Linked DNA regions of Anolis sagrei. The protein of the gene in region 2 purifies or fractionates together with the protein of the main gene of each other region. This does not show direct contact. Links are inferred from orthologs where the notes say so. Each region holds a gene or a part of one and is shown on either strand. Other genes may lie near its edges.

What was found.
Region 1: the proteins of USP25 (region 2) and BTBD9 purify together in Homo sapiens (affinity purification with mass spectrometry; 3 studies listed by BioGRID and IntAct, counting the BioPlex papers as one, with this or other methods). This does not show direct contact. The link is inferred for Anolis sagrei from reciprocal best matches to the Homo sapiens genes USP25 and BTBD9.

What each region holds. Positions count from the first base shown.
Region 1 is NC_090021.1:46,422,568-46,430,637, reverse strand, and holds the start of BTBD9 (BTB/POZ domain-containing protein 9), read right to left. Parts: upstream 3,144-8,070; 5' UTR 3,038-3,143; intron 1-3,037. Other genes in the region: GLO1 (lactoylglutathione lyase), read left to right, coding at 5,401-5,481, 6,790-6,872.
Region 2 is NC_090023.1:61,866,486-61,873,995, reverse strand, and holds the start of USP25 (ubiquitin carboxyl-terminal hydrolase 25), read right to left. Parts: upstream 3,034-7,510; 5' UTR 2,808-3,033; coding exon 2,760-2,807; intron 1-2,759. UniProt on the Homo sapiens protein: Deubiquitinating enzyme that hydrolyzes ubiquitin moieties conjugated to substrates and thus, functions in various biological processes including inflammation and immune response.

The DNA.
Region 1 (8,070 bases), on a different chromosome or scaffold from region 2:
GTATCCTTCAAAGGGTATATTCAGAAAGAGACTGGACAGCTCCTTGATGGCAATGCTTTAACTGGAGATCCAGCAGGGAGTTGGACTGCAACTCTATGACTCTATATCAAAATACATCACCATCTCTGCTTTATTTGCCTGATTCTGAAGTTTTTGGACTGCCTATTGAGACCTTCTGCTTCAACTCACAATTGCTCTGGTCTTTGCCCCATCAGCCCAATGGCAAGCAGCCTCTGTGCCATATACTGCACCCACTTCTTAATGTACCGAGGACTAATGTTTGTATAAACTCTGAAAAATTGCTGAACAGCCTAAAAGGTTAATCTGCCTATGTTGATATGACCTGAATGGCAACAAAATCGAAGGTATTTTAAAGCAATGGTTCCCATGGGGTCATGCAAACCTTCAGAAAATATTTTTTTTCTGCAGAACTCTTACTACATATATCCCTGATTTGTTGAATCAAAATATATTTTGGATCATTTTACACTAATTCAAATATGTCTCCCAATTTCCTATATAACATTCAATTTTTGAATAAATTTTACTCTGATGTTTTATGAATATTCCAAATGTCTTTTATGTTAAAAAAAACTTTGTAAGAAAGTAAAAATTCAAAAAGAAATGTGGAACCAATGTAAAAAATCGACTACATATGAATCACATGTTGTAAAAAGTTGAAATGTGCACCCAGCATACGTGAGAGCAACAGCTATAACTATTACAGAGAATGTAAATCCAGTAGAGTTGGTCTGGTGTGGTTTTATTTTAAAATGCATTTTCAATTTGATTTTTAAGGTTTTTCATGGAACCGCCCTAATATGATGCTTTTTGTGGAAACCTGAGCTTTTGTGGAGCACAGGCCCCTTTCACACAGCTGAAGAAAATCCCACATTATCAGCTTTGGCCTGGAATATAACCCTATTCAAAGCAGATATTGTGGGATTTTCTGCCTTGATATTCTGGGTTATATGGCTCTGTGGAAGGGCCCACAGTTTGGGAACTGCTGCTCTAAAGCACCTGGATTCCTCAGCTGGCTTCCCAATACAAGTACCTGCTTGGATACTGCATTGCACAGGTGTTAGGGATGCCTTGTGGGCGTGGGGATCTATCAGTACTCCCTTTTAACTTAAAAAATTCCCACACACATTGATCTTGCACTTTCTCAGGAAGGCATGGGATCCAAGCTCTATCTAAATATCAGAATGGGAGCCACATGGGAGGGCACTGTGGGGTATTTGGTCATGTTAATAGTTTTATCTAATTTTTATTTCTTACTTACTCAATTCTACTTTAATATATGAATGTTATGGGGTGTGAACTGTACTTTTTTGGGGTTGCTGTGAATTTTCCGGGTTGTATGGTCATATTCCAGAAGCATTCCCTCCTGATGTTTTGCCCACATCTATTGCAAGCATCCTCGAAGGTTGCGAGATTTGTTGGAAATTAGACACATGGAGTTTATATATCTGTGGAATGTCCAGGGTAGGAGAAAGAATTCTTGTCTGTTTGAGGCAAGTGTGAATGCTGCAACTGATCACCTTGATTAGCATTAGGAGCCCCCGGTGGCGCAGTGGGTTAAACCCCTGTGCCGGCAGGACTGAAGACTGACAGGCCGCAGGTTCGAATCCGGGGAGAGGCGGATGAGCTCCCTCTATCAGCTCCAGCTCCTCATGCGGGAACATGAGAGAAGCCTCCCATAAGGATGACAAAAAAACATCAAACCATCCAGGCGTCCCCTGGGCAACGTCCTTGCAGACGGCCAATTCTCTCACACCAGGAGTCACTCCTGACACGACAAAAAAAAAAAAAAAAAGCATTGAATAGCCTTGCAGCTTGAAGGCTTTGGCTGCTTCTTGCCTGCCTTTGGCTGCTTCCACTTGCCTTGTTTCCAACAAACCTCACAACCTCTGAGCATGCCTGCCACAGATGTGGGTGAAACGTCAGGAGAGAATGCTTCTGGAACATAGCCATACAGCCCGGAAAACCCACAGCAACCGAATCATTCCGGCCATGAAAGCTTTTGACAACACACCGTACTTACTGTTTCTATTGTTGTTTTATATGGTTTTAATGCTTAATCTGTATTTTGCTATTATGTGTTGTAAACAGCCTTGAGTCGCCGATAGGCTGAGAAAGGCGGTATACAAATATAGTAGATAAATAAAACTCTTTTTAATGTTGTGAGCTGCTTGGCATCTCAGTATTGAGATAACAGAAAGGTTTCCCCTTGACATTGATTCTAGTTGGGTCCAACTCTGGGGGTGGGGGTGGTGCTCATCTCAATTTCTATGCCAAAGAGCTGTCATTGTCCGCAGACACCTCCTAGGTCATGTGGTTCTCAACCTGTGGGTCCCCAGGTGTTTTGGCCTACAACTCCCAGAAATCCCATCCAGTTTACCAGCAGTTAGGATTTCTGGGAGTTGAAGGGCAAGACATCTGGAGACCCACAGGTTGAGAGCCACTGTCCTAGGTCATGCATGGAGCATCGTTTACCTTCCTGCTGGAGCGATACCCATTGATCTACCCACATTTGCATGTTTTCAAACTGCTAGGTTGACAGAAGCTGGGGCGAATGGCGGGAGCTCACCCTGGATTCAAACCACCAATCTTTCCGTCAGCAATTTCAGCAGCATAACCCGTTACACCACTGGTGACTCCATCTAGAGATAACAGCGGGATACAAATAAAGAGTAACACCGGCCATGGCTGAGTGCTATGGAATTCTGAAATCTGCAGTTCTGTAAGAGCAAACTACAAATCCCAGGATTCCCTAGCATGGAGCAATGGCCGTCCAAAGGGCTGTCAAAGGGCTGTCACCCTGCAGTGTGGATTAATGGAAGGCAGGCGCCGGCCTTCCTAGAGCCAAATGGCGCCCTTTGCCCTCTTCGCCTCCACAGGAGCCCGGCGAAGCTCAAGCCCACACCGCTGCTCTGCGCCCTTCGGCCGGGAGGGTCAGGGAGAGAGCCGAAGGGGAGAAAGGCTGGCCCGCTGCTCCCTCTCCCGCTCCCTGCTTCCTTCCTTCCCTCAGACTTACCGGCCGGAACGCTGAGGCGGCGGGCCCCCTTTTCTCCTGACCGCCGGCTGCGCCGTTCACGCGTCGCCTTGCGCGCTGACGTCACTTAGCAACGGCGCCCCAACTGGCCTACGCGCTGACGTCCAAAGTGACGTCAGAGGGGAGTCAGAATTCCGTAGATCTATGAAGCCATAGAATGCTGCGTTTCACTCTTTAAACTGAAAAAGGAGGCATCACTTTAAAACAAGCTTGTGGAGTTTAACTTTATAATATTTTTTATTAATCATCTTGCCTATTTGTTTTATATCTTGGTTTTAAAATTTTTATTATTTGCATAATTTGTTTTTACAATTGTACAGTTTTATATAAAGTCTTAAAAAAACGAATTCAAAGTGTGAGTTGCTGTAGTTTTTCCTGTCTGTATGGTCATGTTTCAGAAGCATTCTCTCCTGATGTTTCGCCTACAACTATGGCAGGCATCCTCAGAGGAGTCCCCGGTGGCGCAGTGGGTTAAACCCCTGTGCAGGCAGGACTGAAAACCGACAGATCGCAGGTTCAAATCCGGGGAGAGGTGGATGAGCTCCCTCTATTAGCTCCAGCTCCTCATGCGGGAACATGAGAAAAGCCTCCCACAAGGATGATAAAACATCAAATCATCCAGACGTCCCCTGGGCCACGTCCTTGCAGACGGCCAATTCTCTCACACCAGAAGCGACTTGCAGTTTTTCAGGTTGTTCCTGACACGACAAAAAAAAAAAATCCTCAGAGGTTGTGAAGTCTGTCGGAAATTAGGCAAGTGAGGTCTATATATATCTGTGGAATGTTCAGGATAAGAGAAAGATCTCTTGTCTGCTTGAGGCAGGTGTGAAGACATTGGATATTTTTATGTTTTTAATAGTTTTGTATGGATTTTATAATGTTGTTTTAAATGTTTTTCATTGTACACTGTGATCGTTATGGCATCAAATTGCTACCAACTTGTAAGTCGCCTCCAGGTTGAGAAAGGTGGTATAGAAATATAGCAAATAAATAAAATAAATGTTGCAATTGGCCACTTTATTAGCATTGAAAGGCCTTGCAGCTTCAAAGCCTGGCCGCTTTCTGCCTAGGGCAGGGGTCCTCAAACTAAGGCCCGGGGGCCAGATACGGCCCTCCAAGGTCATTTACCCAGCCCTCACTCAGGGTCAATCTAAATCTGAAACTACTTGAAAGCACACAACAACAATCCTATCTCATCAGCCAAAAGCAGGCCCACACTTCCCATTGAAATACTAATAAGTTTATATTTGTTAAAAATTTTCTTCATTTTAATTATTGCATTGTTTTTAAGTGGTTGTTTTGCACTGCAAATAAGATATGTGCAGTGTGCATAGGAATTCACGTCTTTTCAAATTATATTCCGGCCCTCCAACTATAACATTTGGAGGACTGTGGCCTGGCCCTCTGTTTAAAACAGTTTGAAGGACTGTGACCTGGCCCTCTGTTTAAAAGGTTTGAGGACCCCTAGCCTAGGGGATCCTTTCTTAGCTGGCCCCGATTAATTCCTGTCTGGAATTACCCTGCTTTTCGAGTGTTCCTCTTTATTTATCTGGCTACCAATATGAAAAAACTCTAAAATCATAACAGTAAATAAAGAGCAACACTGAAAAAGCAGGGGAATTCCAGACAAGAATCAATCAGGGACAGCGAACACCTCCCAACAAAGCATCCCCAGGCAGCAACCAGCCAGGCTTTGAAGCTGTAAGGCCACTGAATTCTAATCAAGGTGGCCAATTGCAACATTCACACCAGCCTCAAGCAGACAAGAGTTTTTTCTCCCATGCTGGACATTATTCCACAGATATATAAACCTCACTTGCCTAGTTTCCAACAGACCTCACAACCTCTGAGGATGGCTGCCATAGATGTGGGAGAAACGTCAGGAGAGAATGCTTCTGGAACATGACCATACAGCCCGGAAAACTTACAGCAACTCAATGATTCCGGCCGTGAAAGCTTTTGACCACACATTAAAATCAAAATCCTTCATAGCAAGGGAAAACGCAAAAGTCCTTTAAAAAAATAAAAATAAATAAGTGGTATCTATGGGAAGCCTTTAAAAATTATTAAATTGCTTAAAAATTCCATTATCCCAAAATCAAAGTCCTATTGTTTTTTTAAGGTATCTGTGGCAACTTTGTAAAAGAATAAAATCAAACTCATGTTTCTTTTTCAAAGGGTCTCCCTAGGAACTTCAAAACCCTTCCTTCTCTAGGAGAGGCGTGGCTTAAAGAAGGCTGCCCTCATTTGCATGCCTCGTCGCTGTTGGTCAGGACGCGTTCTATCTCGCCACTGCAAGGCGCCGCCGCGCTCGTTCGGGAGGAGGAAGGAGCCCGTGGGCCACCATGTCCGAGCAAGCTGAGCTCAGCGGTCTCACCGATGAAGAGGCCTCCAGCGCCTGCTCGGACCCCCACCCCAGCACCAAGGTAAAGGCCGGAGAGAGAAGGTTTGGCCCTGGTGGGAGGCTGCCTTGCCCGCCTCCCCCCTCCCCCGTAAAACAGGCAAGCCAAGCCCGAAACCGGGAGGGAGGGATTGCCTTTGCCAAGGCGTTTCTTCTAAGGAGCGGGGCCAAAACCACCAGGCTGGGTGTTACCTTTCACCCCAAAATTGGAGCGCCTGAACTTTAAAGGCGGTGACTTGGAGGATCAGGTTCCCTCCAGGCCTGGGGAGTGCATCTACACTGCAGAATGAGTGCAGTTTGACAACACTTGGCTCAATTCTATGGAGTCCTGAGAGTTATAGTTTCACAAGGTAGTACTTAGCTAACAAACTGACTGCTAATACTGGAACCCCCCCCCCCCACACACACACACACACACCACTTTTAAAACAATTCTGAAATGGGTTGCTGTGAGTTTTCCAGTCTGTATGGCTATGTTCCAGAAGCATTCCCTCCTGACGTTTCACCCACATCTATGGCAGGCACCCTCAGAGGTTGTGAGGTCTTTTGGAATCTAAACAAGGGAGGTTTAGATATCTATAAAAGGTCCATGATGGGAGAAAAGAACTCTTGTCTGTTGGAGGCAAGTGTGAATGTTGCAATTAATCACCTTGATTAGCATTGAAAGCCTTGCAGCTTCAAGGCCTGGCTGATTCCTGTCTGGGGAAAATCCTTTGTTGGGAGGTGTTTACTGGCCCTGATTGTTTCATGTCTGGAATTCCCCTGTTTTCAAAGTGGTGTTGACCACCTTTATTAGCCTTGAATGTCTGTTGGAAGCAAGTGTGAATGTTGCAATTAATCACCTTGATTAGCAACATTCACACTTGCCTCAACCAGACAAGAGTTCTTTCTCCCACCCTGGACCTTCTACAGATATGTAAACCCCAATTGCCTAGTTTCCAACAGATCTCTCAACCACTAAGGATACCTGCCATAGATGTGGTTGAAACGTCAGGAGAGAATGCTTCTGGAATATGGCTATACAGCCCGGAAAACTCACAGCAACCCAAAGATTCCTGCCATGAAAGCCTTCGACAATATATCCATTCTGAAGTGCCTAAGTTTCTACTGAAGTCTTCTTATAATGATGGCATTCGCATGGTCTGTTGCTGTGTACCATTGTTGCTATTTAAAAAGAACAAGCAACAAACTTTCTTTTAATTGGTTACTTCCAAACTCAAGTCCTAAGAGTATCTATAGTTCTATTTTGCCACGTGAAATCAGTTAAATGGGAGAATTTTAATAGCAGTGTCTTTCATGGTTCATAGACATTTAATAAGTTCTCTCTTTTCAGGATTTTCTGATGCAACAGACAATGTTAAGAATAAAAGATCCCAAAAAGTCACTGGATTTTTATACCAGAGTTCTTGGAATGACGTAAGTGCAAACTCCTTTTGACTCGATTGCCCCTCCACTTCATTAGGGCTTCAATAGCTAATTCTTCTCAAACTGAAGCATGCCAATCCGTAGATACGTGTGACTGGGTCCATAATTGCATGACCTATTTTCAGCACGGCTTAGGAGATTGAACACAACTTAACTAGATGGGTTGAATTCGGTTGTAGTATTCAGTTTATGAAAAAGCCTTTAGCCCAAAAAGATGCCGGTTGAATAAATGATCTGGAATTTTTGTTTTGAGTCAGTGGTCTATGGAGGAGCCCCCGGTGGCGCAGTAGATTAAACCCCGCAGGTTCGAATCCAGGGAGAGGCGGATGAGCTCCCTCTACCAGCTCCAGCTCCTCATGCGGGGACATGAGAGAAGCCTCCCACAAGGATGATAAAAACATCAAATGATTTGGGTGTCCCCTGGGCAATGTCCTTGCAGAAGGCCAATTCTCTCACACCAGAATTGACTTGCAGATTCTCAAGTCTCTCCTGACACGACAAAAAAAAAGTGGTCCATGGAAATCTATTGTTTAGGATTGGGAGTATCTCTAAAACCCTTCAGGGTACTGTTCCATTATCTAGCGGAACTCCAAAAGGGAACCTATACAGCAGTGTTTCTCAATCTTCCTAATGCCGCGAACTCTTAATACAGTTCCTCATGTTGTGGTGACCCCCAACCATAAAATTATTTTTGTTGCTACTTCATAATTGTAATTTTGCTATGAATCGTCATGTAAATATCTGATATGCAGGATGTATTTTCTTTCACTGCACCAAATTTGGCACAAACATCCGATACTCACAAATTTGAATGCTGGTGGGCTTGGGGGGATTGATTTTGTTATTTGTAGTTGCTGGGATTGATAGTTAACCAACAATCAAATAGCATTTTGAACTCCACCAATGATAGAATTGAACCAAACTTGGCACACAGAACTCCCATGACCAACAGAAAATACTGGGTGGGTTTGGTGGCCATTGACCTTGAGTTTTGGAGTTATAGTTCACTACATTCAAAGAGCACTGTGGACTCAAACAATGATGGATCTGGACCAAACTTAGCACAGATACTCAATATGCCCAAATGTGAACACTGGTGGAGTTTGGGGAAAATAGAATTTGACATTTGGAGTTGTAGTCACTGGGATTTAAAGTTCACCTACAATCAAAGCGCCACTTGAACCCCACC
Region 2 (7,510 bases):
TATAAGAGTAACTAGAACCTGAACATCCCCATTCAACTCAGATTAATCAAAAACCACCCAGCACCCAATTTTAGTGGCTGCACACAGATATGACTCAAATGAATGACAAGTTGTAGAGATTCCATACCATTTCCAGATGATCATTACTGACTCACCAACAATGTATTCATGTAACAAGTCCAGAGCATATGACAGACTTCTAGAAACATTAATCCACACACCAATTTCTGTCTACAAGAATAATTCACTTTATACCATACAGAGACACTAAAAACATTATATTTTGAACAAAGACCACACTTTCAAACTGGTAAATTGATAATATCAGTAACTTTCAGTTTATTCATATAGATTTCATAAAAGAAGGATAAAAATAAACTGTGATGTCTTCTTTGAAGAAAGGGCATTAAATATGTTTTACAAACTTGAGAATGATTTTCACAAGCATTCAATGGTAACAACTTTACTTTCTCTTGATACCACAAGGCTCTCGGTGTTGGCAACATAAATAGCCCTTGCACACAGACTAAGTTCATCTGACAAGGTTGTTCCAGAGTCAGTTAAATACTTTTTTCCTGTACAGATCTAACTTCATGACAAAATTTCCACCAGGTGTCAGGCTGTCATACTCCAAAAGAAAAAGATATATATCTTAAGATGCCAGCCACACAACACCCCAAAAAGATATACATACATTTAAATTTGATTAACACAGGCCCCAAATATTCAAGAGTCGGATTCCAGTTTTGAAGGGGCAAGGTTAGCTAGATACATAAAGTTGGCAATGAGCAAGAATGCATCTTAGGCGATCATTTCCTGGCAAATTCTCGTTAAAGAGAACCCATGCTACTTTTACTTCACAACTACATCTATTACTTCAGAGTATAAGAGGAAAAGCTGTAACATGTTTCCGTTTCGGAACCAAAACACAAATTTTTGGCTTCTTCCAACCCTTTAAACTAGCTCTGAACTCTTTAAACACCTGCCTCAAACAAGCAAGAGTTCTTTCTCTCACCCTGGATATTCCACAGATATATAAACCCCACTTTCCTAGTTTCCAACAGACCTCACAACCTCTGAGGATGCCTGACATAGATGCAGGTGAAATGCCAGGAGAGAATGGCTCTGGAAATGGCCATACAGCCTGTAAAACTCACAGCAACCCAGTCTTTAAATTTAGTTTGCCAAAGTATCACAAAACTGGTTGTAGAGCTAATATGACCAGGAGAAGCAAGGTGCATCTCAGGACACAAGGACCGGGGGGGGGGGGGGGGGGAATGAAGGTGTTTAAAAATTGGGGAGAGGAATGAAAACAATAGAGAAGAATATTCTGTGAAGCAGCCTCCACAGACTTGACACACAAAACACCCTGAGACATTTGCCAATTTGCAACCAACCACAATTCAAAGTGCTGGCTTTAGCATTTAGGATTTCTGGGAATTGAAGGCCAAAACATCTGGGGACTCACAAGTTAAGCACCACTGCCCTAAACAGTTCTGGCCCAGCTTACCTATCCGAACATATCTCACCCTATGAACCAACCCGGATGCTAAGATCTTCTGGGGAAGCCCAGCTCTCGGTCCCAACTCCTTTGCAGGTGTGGCTGGTGAGGGCGAGAGACAGGGCCTTGTCAGTGGTGGTCCTGTGGAACTCCCTCCCCAGTGAAATTAGATTAGCTCCCTCCAGCCTGTCCTGGCTATAGGATCAAGCATTTGGAGAGTAGTACAGTGCAATAGGCAGCTAGGAAGTGCAATAGGCAGCTATGGATTATGTTCTGGGTCTTTTGTGTTATGGTTTTGAGTTCATTTAATGTATTGATACATTATGGTTTTTATTGATTTTAATGTATAATGCATATTGTGTTTGCATGTTTATATTTATTGTGCCACTGCATTATTTCCAGGTGTTTTGGACTACAACTCCCACCATTCCTACTTGACAAACTTGAGCCCTCCCTCTGGGTATTTTGGACTTCAGCTCCCACCATTCCTAATGGGCAAACTTGGGCCCTCCCTCCAGATGTTTTGGACTGCAACTCCCACCATTCCTAATGGGCAAACCTGAGTCCTCCCTCCTGATGTTTTGGACTTCAGCTCCCACTATTCCTAATGGGCAAACTTGAGCCCTCCCTCTGGGTATTTTGGACTTCAACTCCCACCATTCCTAATGGGCAAACTTGGGCCTTCCCTCCAGGTGTTTTGGACTTCAACTCCCACCATTCCTAATGGGCCAACTTGGGCCTTCCCTCCAGGTGTTTTGGACTGCAACTCCCACCACTCCTAATGGGCCAACTTGGGCCCTCCCTCCAGATATTTTGGACTTCAACTCCCACCATTCCAAACAGCCTCAGGCCCTTTCCTTTCCCCCCTCAGCCGCTTAAGCGGCTGAGGGGGGAAAGGAAGGGGCCTGAGGCTGTTCGGAATGGTGGGAGTTGAAGTCCAAAACACCTGGAGGGAGGGCCCAAGTTGGCCCACGCTTGGCGTAGTTGCACCCTGAGAGAAAGGCGACCAAATGCAAGGCGCTGTGATTCCAGCACACACACGCCGCTTGTGTTGTGTGTGTTTTGTCTCTCTCCCTCCCTCTGAATCAAAGGTCACAAGGAAGCCGAGGCGGGAGGACGCGCCCCAGAGCGGCAGGCCTCTCTCTTCCCTGCCAGGCCTCTCTCCGCTTTGAACCTTCCTCCCTCCCTCTTCCCTCCTTCCCTCCCTCCCTCCCTCTCTCTTTCAGACCCGGCGCCTGCCTGGGTTCCGCTCGCTCACCTTCTGGGCGTTGCTCTGCTGCTGCAGCACGTTCTGCTCCACCGTCATGGCTGGAGACGGCGCTGGGCGAAAGGGGGAAGAGCGGGAGCCCGAGGAGGCGGCCGAGGCCTCTGCTGCGGGAGCCAAGCGCAGCCGTGGCGGGAGGAGGAGGACGAGGAGGAGGCAGAGGGCGCTCGCTTAGTGGCGGGTGAAGGCGGCGGCGGCGGCAGCGCCCGCCTCAACCAAACCTGCCCGGTGCTGGCATCTTGCTCGGGCTCCTCCCATCCCTCCCTCAATCCCTCCTCCTCCTTCTTCCTCCGCTTCGGTTTCCTTTTCCTGGCGGCGCCTGGATGAAAGGGTGTCTCCCCCTCCTCTCCCTCCCCGTCTTCCGCCCCCAAACAGGAACACAACACACCCTTTCGCTCCCAGGACGAGGCCAGCCCTTCCTTATTCTTCCCCGGGATCCCCAATTACAGACAGTTCCCGACGACTATTGGCATAGGTTTCCAGAAGTGACAAAGACAAAAACCTGTCTGCCTACCAGTATTTAAATAATTATTATTATTTGAAACACCACAAGATAACTCGAGACAGGGCCTTTTCTGTGGTGCCCCCCCCCCCCCGACTCTGGAACGCCCTCCCAAAAGATCTTAGACAGGCCCCTACACTGGCAGTCTTCAGAAAGAACTTGAAGACTTGGCTGTTCCGATGTGCCTTCTCAGATTAGGAATCTCCAATACCAAGTCCTGGAAGCACTTTAGTAGAACTAAGATTGCTGCACACCGCACATTGCACTTACTTTATAATCCTACATACCTCCTGCCACATCAGCACTTTTAATCTTGTTCCCATTACTCTGGCCCGGCCCAGTTTTATAGTGTCTTGATGTATTGTTTATGTTTGTTGTTATACTGCTTAACTGTTTTTAATTTGCTTTAGGTATTGTATTGTTGTATTGTGTTTTGAGGCCTTGGCCTATGTAAATCGCATCGAGTCCTTCGAGAGATGCTAGCAGGGTACAAATAAAGTTATAATAAAGTCCAGAGCAGACACTCTGCTGGCTGTTGTATTGGATCACACGTGTCAAGGACTGTATTATTATTATTATTATTATTATTATTATTATTAGAAACACCACAAGATGAGTTCACAGCAGACACTCTGCTGGCTGTTGTATTGGATCACACGTCGAAAACTTCCCAAGTGTCTAGGACTGTGTGATGTATCTGCGAATAATGCATGCAGATCCCAGTAAGGTGGCCTTTTGCAGCTGGCAGGTCGTAATTTTGTCAGCACCAATTGTGTTTAAGTGCAGGCCAAGGTCTTTAGGCACTGCACCCAATGTGCCGATCACCACTGGGACCACCTTGACTGCTTGTGCCAGAGTCTTTGCAGTTCGATCTTTAAATCCTCATATTGTGTCAGCTTTTCCTGTTGTTTCTCTTCAATCATGCTGTCACCTCGGATTGCAACCAGGGGCTGCTCAACCCATTACGCAAAGTAAGCATTTGCAGTATAGTTGATTTTGCCCAGAGGCACTCTTGGGGGAAAATAGATGTTGACATATGCAAGTTATAGTTACTGGGATGTATAGTTCACCTACAATCAAAGAGCATTCTGAACTCCACCAATGTTGGAATTGAACCAAATATTGAACCACAGAACTCCCACGACAAACAGAAAACATATATCAGTGATTGGTGGGGGGGGGGGGCAAAATACTATTTGCTTACCGTTGAAAATTACCTAGGGCCGCCTCTGATTGCAACATCAACAATCCATACTTTGTTTTTTTAACACGATCGTGAGGTCAGGAGTATTGTGCTCCAAAACTCTGTCTGAATCCAGAAGTCCCAAAGTAGCTTGACGTTTTCATTTTCTGTAACTTTTTCCAGCTTGTGATCCCACCAGTTCTTTGTTGCAGGCAGATGGTATTTGTGGCACAAGTTCCAATGAATCATCTGAGCAATGGTGTTATGCCTCTGCTTGTAGTCTGTCTGCGCAATCTTCTTGCAGCAGCTCAGGACGTGATCTATTGTTTCATCTGCTTCCTTGCAGAGTCTACATTTGGGATCTGTCGTTGACTTTTCAATTCTGGCTTTGATGGCATTGGTTCTAATGGCTTGTTCTTGGGCTGCCAGAATCAGGCCCTCCGTCTCCTTTTTCAAAGTCCCATTTGTGAGCCACAGCCATGTTTTTTCTTTGTCAATTTGGCTCTCAATTTTTGCCATGAACTGCCCATGGAGAGCCTTCTTTGGCCAGTTTTGTCTTCTGCTCTGGATTGTGTTTTTACGGTATTGACTCTTTGTCTTTTGCACTTTAAGCAGTTTACTACTATTGACTTCGCTCAATGTTGGTTCTTGACTGCCCTTCACATAATTTGGCCATGTATGTTTCTCTTCTTCTACCATTTGTTTCACTTGCAGAAGCCCTCAGCCTCCTGATTTTCTGGGCAGGTAAAGTCTGTCGACATCACTACGCGGGTATAATAAGTAGTAGATGGTAATTAAAAAAAAATTCTGTCCAGATCATCCAGCTCTTCTTACGTCCAGTTCACAATCCCAGCAGTGTATCTAATGACGGGGATGGCCCAGGTGTTGATAGCCTTGATAGTATTTCTGCCATTTAATTTGCTCTTCAAAACCTTTCTGACTCTTTGGACATATTCTTTGCTGACCACATTTTTCACATGCCCATGCTTAATATTGTCCAACTGTAGTATGCCCAGATATTTATAGGCTTCAGGCTGATTACATTTTATGCTTTGTCCATTTGGCATCTCAGTGCCCTTGCTGTGAGTAATTTTCCCTTTCTTTAATGCCACTGTGACACATTTGTCTAGGCTAAACTCCATACCGATGTACTTCATACTGATTATACCAAACTCCATACTGATGATTATTATTATTATGGCAGAATATTGTTATTATTTTGATTCTGGCAGCCCAAGAACAAGTCATTAGAACCAATGCCATCAAAGCCAGAATTGAAAAGTCGACGACAGATCCCAAATGTAGACTCTGCAAGGAAGCAGATGAAACAATAGATCACGTCCTCAGCTGCTGCAAGAAGAACGCACAGACAGACTACAAGCAGAGGCGTAACACTGTTACTCAAATGATTCATTGGAACTTGTGCCACAAATACCATCTGCCTGCGACAAAGAACTGATGGGATCACAAGCCAGAAAAAGTTATAGAAAACGCACATGTCAAGCTACTCTGGGACTTCTGAATTCAGACAGAGTTTTGCAATACAATACTCCTGACCTCATGATTGTGTTAAAAAACAAAATATGGATTGTCGATGTTGCAATCCCATATGTCAGCAGGATTGAAGAGAAAGAACTGGAAAAGCTGACACGATATGTGGATTTAAAGTTCGAATTGCAAAGACTCTGGCACAAGCCAGTCAAGGTGGTCCCAGTGGTGATCGGCACACTGGGTGCAGTGCCTAAAGACCTTGTCCTGCACTTAAACACAATCGGTGCTGACAAGATTACCATCTGCCAGCTGCAAAAGGCCACCTTACTGGGATCTGCATGCATTATTCACCGATACATTACACAGTCCTAGACACTTGGGAAGTGTCCGAAGTAGCCAGCAGAGTGTCTGCTGTGGACTCAACTTGTTGTGTTTCTAATAATAATAATAATAATAATAATAAGGCCAGGATTGAAAAATCAGCTGATGACCCAAAATGCAGACTGTACAAGGAAGCTAATGAAACCATGGATCATATCCTCAGCTGTTGCAAGAAAATCGCACAGCCGGACTACAAAAAGACACAACTCTGTGGCTCAGATGATTCACTGGTACCACCTGCCAGCAATAAAGAATTGGTGGGATCACAAACCCGCAACGGCCGTGGAAAATTAGCATGCAAAAATACTGTGGGACTTTCGAATCCAGACTGACAAAGTTTTGGAACACAATACACCAGACATCACTATTGTGGAAAAGAAAAAACGTTTGGATTATTGATATTGCCATACTGGGTGACAGTCGCATTGAGGAAAAACAACAGGAAAAACTCAGCTGCTATCAAGACCTCAAAATCGAACTGCAAAGGCTCTGGCATAAACCAGTACAGGTGGTCCCAGTGGTCATTGGTGCACTGGGTGCCGTGCCAAAAGATCTCAGCCGGCATTTGGAAACAATAAACATCGACAAAATCACGATCTGTCAACTGCAAAAGGCCAACTTACTTGGATCTGCGCGCATCATTCGAAAATACATCACACAGTCCTAGACGCTTGGGGAGTGTTCGACTTGTGATTTTGTGATACGAAATCCAGCAAATAGATCTCCTTTGCTGTGACATACTATACTTTTGTGTCAATAATAATAATAATACAGTCCTAGACACTTGGGAAGTATCCAACTTGTGGTCCAATACAACAGCCAGCAGAGTGTCTGCTGTGGACTCATCTTGTCTTTCAAATAATAATAATAATAATAATAATAATAATAATAATAATAATAATAAAAAGGTAAAGGTTTTCTCATGACATTAAGTCCAGTTGTGTCCAACTCTGGGGGTTGTTGTTCATTCAAACTACAAGAAAGGAGATTCCATCTGAACATTAGGAAGAACTTCCTGACTGTGAGAGCTGTTCAGCAGTGGAACTCTCTGCCCCGGAGTGTGGTGGAGGCTCCTTCTTTGGAAGCTTTTAAACAGAGGCTGGATGGCCATCTGTCAGGTGTGCTTTGAATGCAATTTTCCTGCTTCTTAGCAGGGGGTTGGACTGGATAGCCCATGAGGTCTCTCCC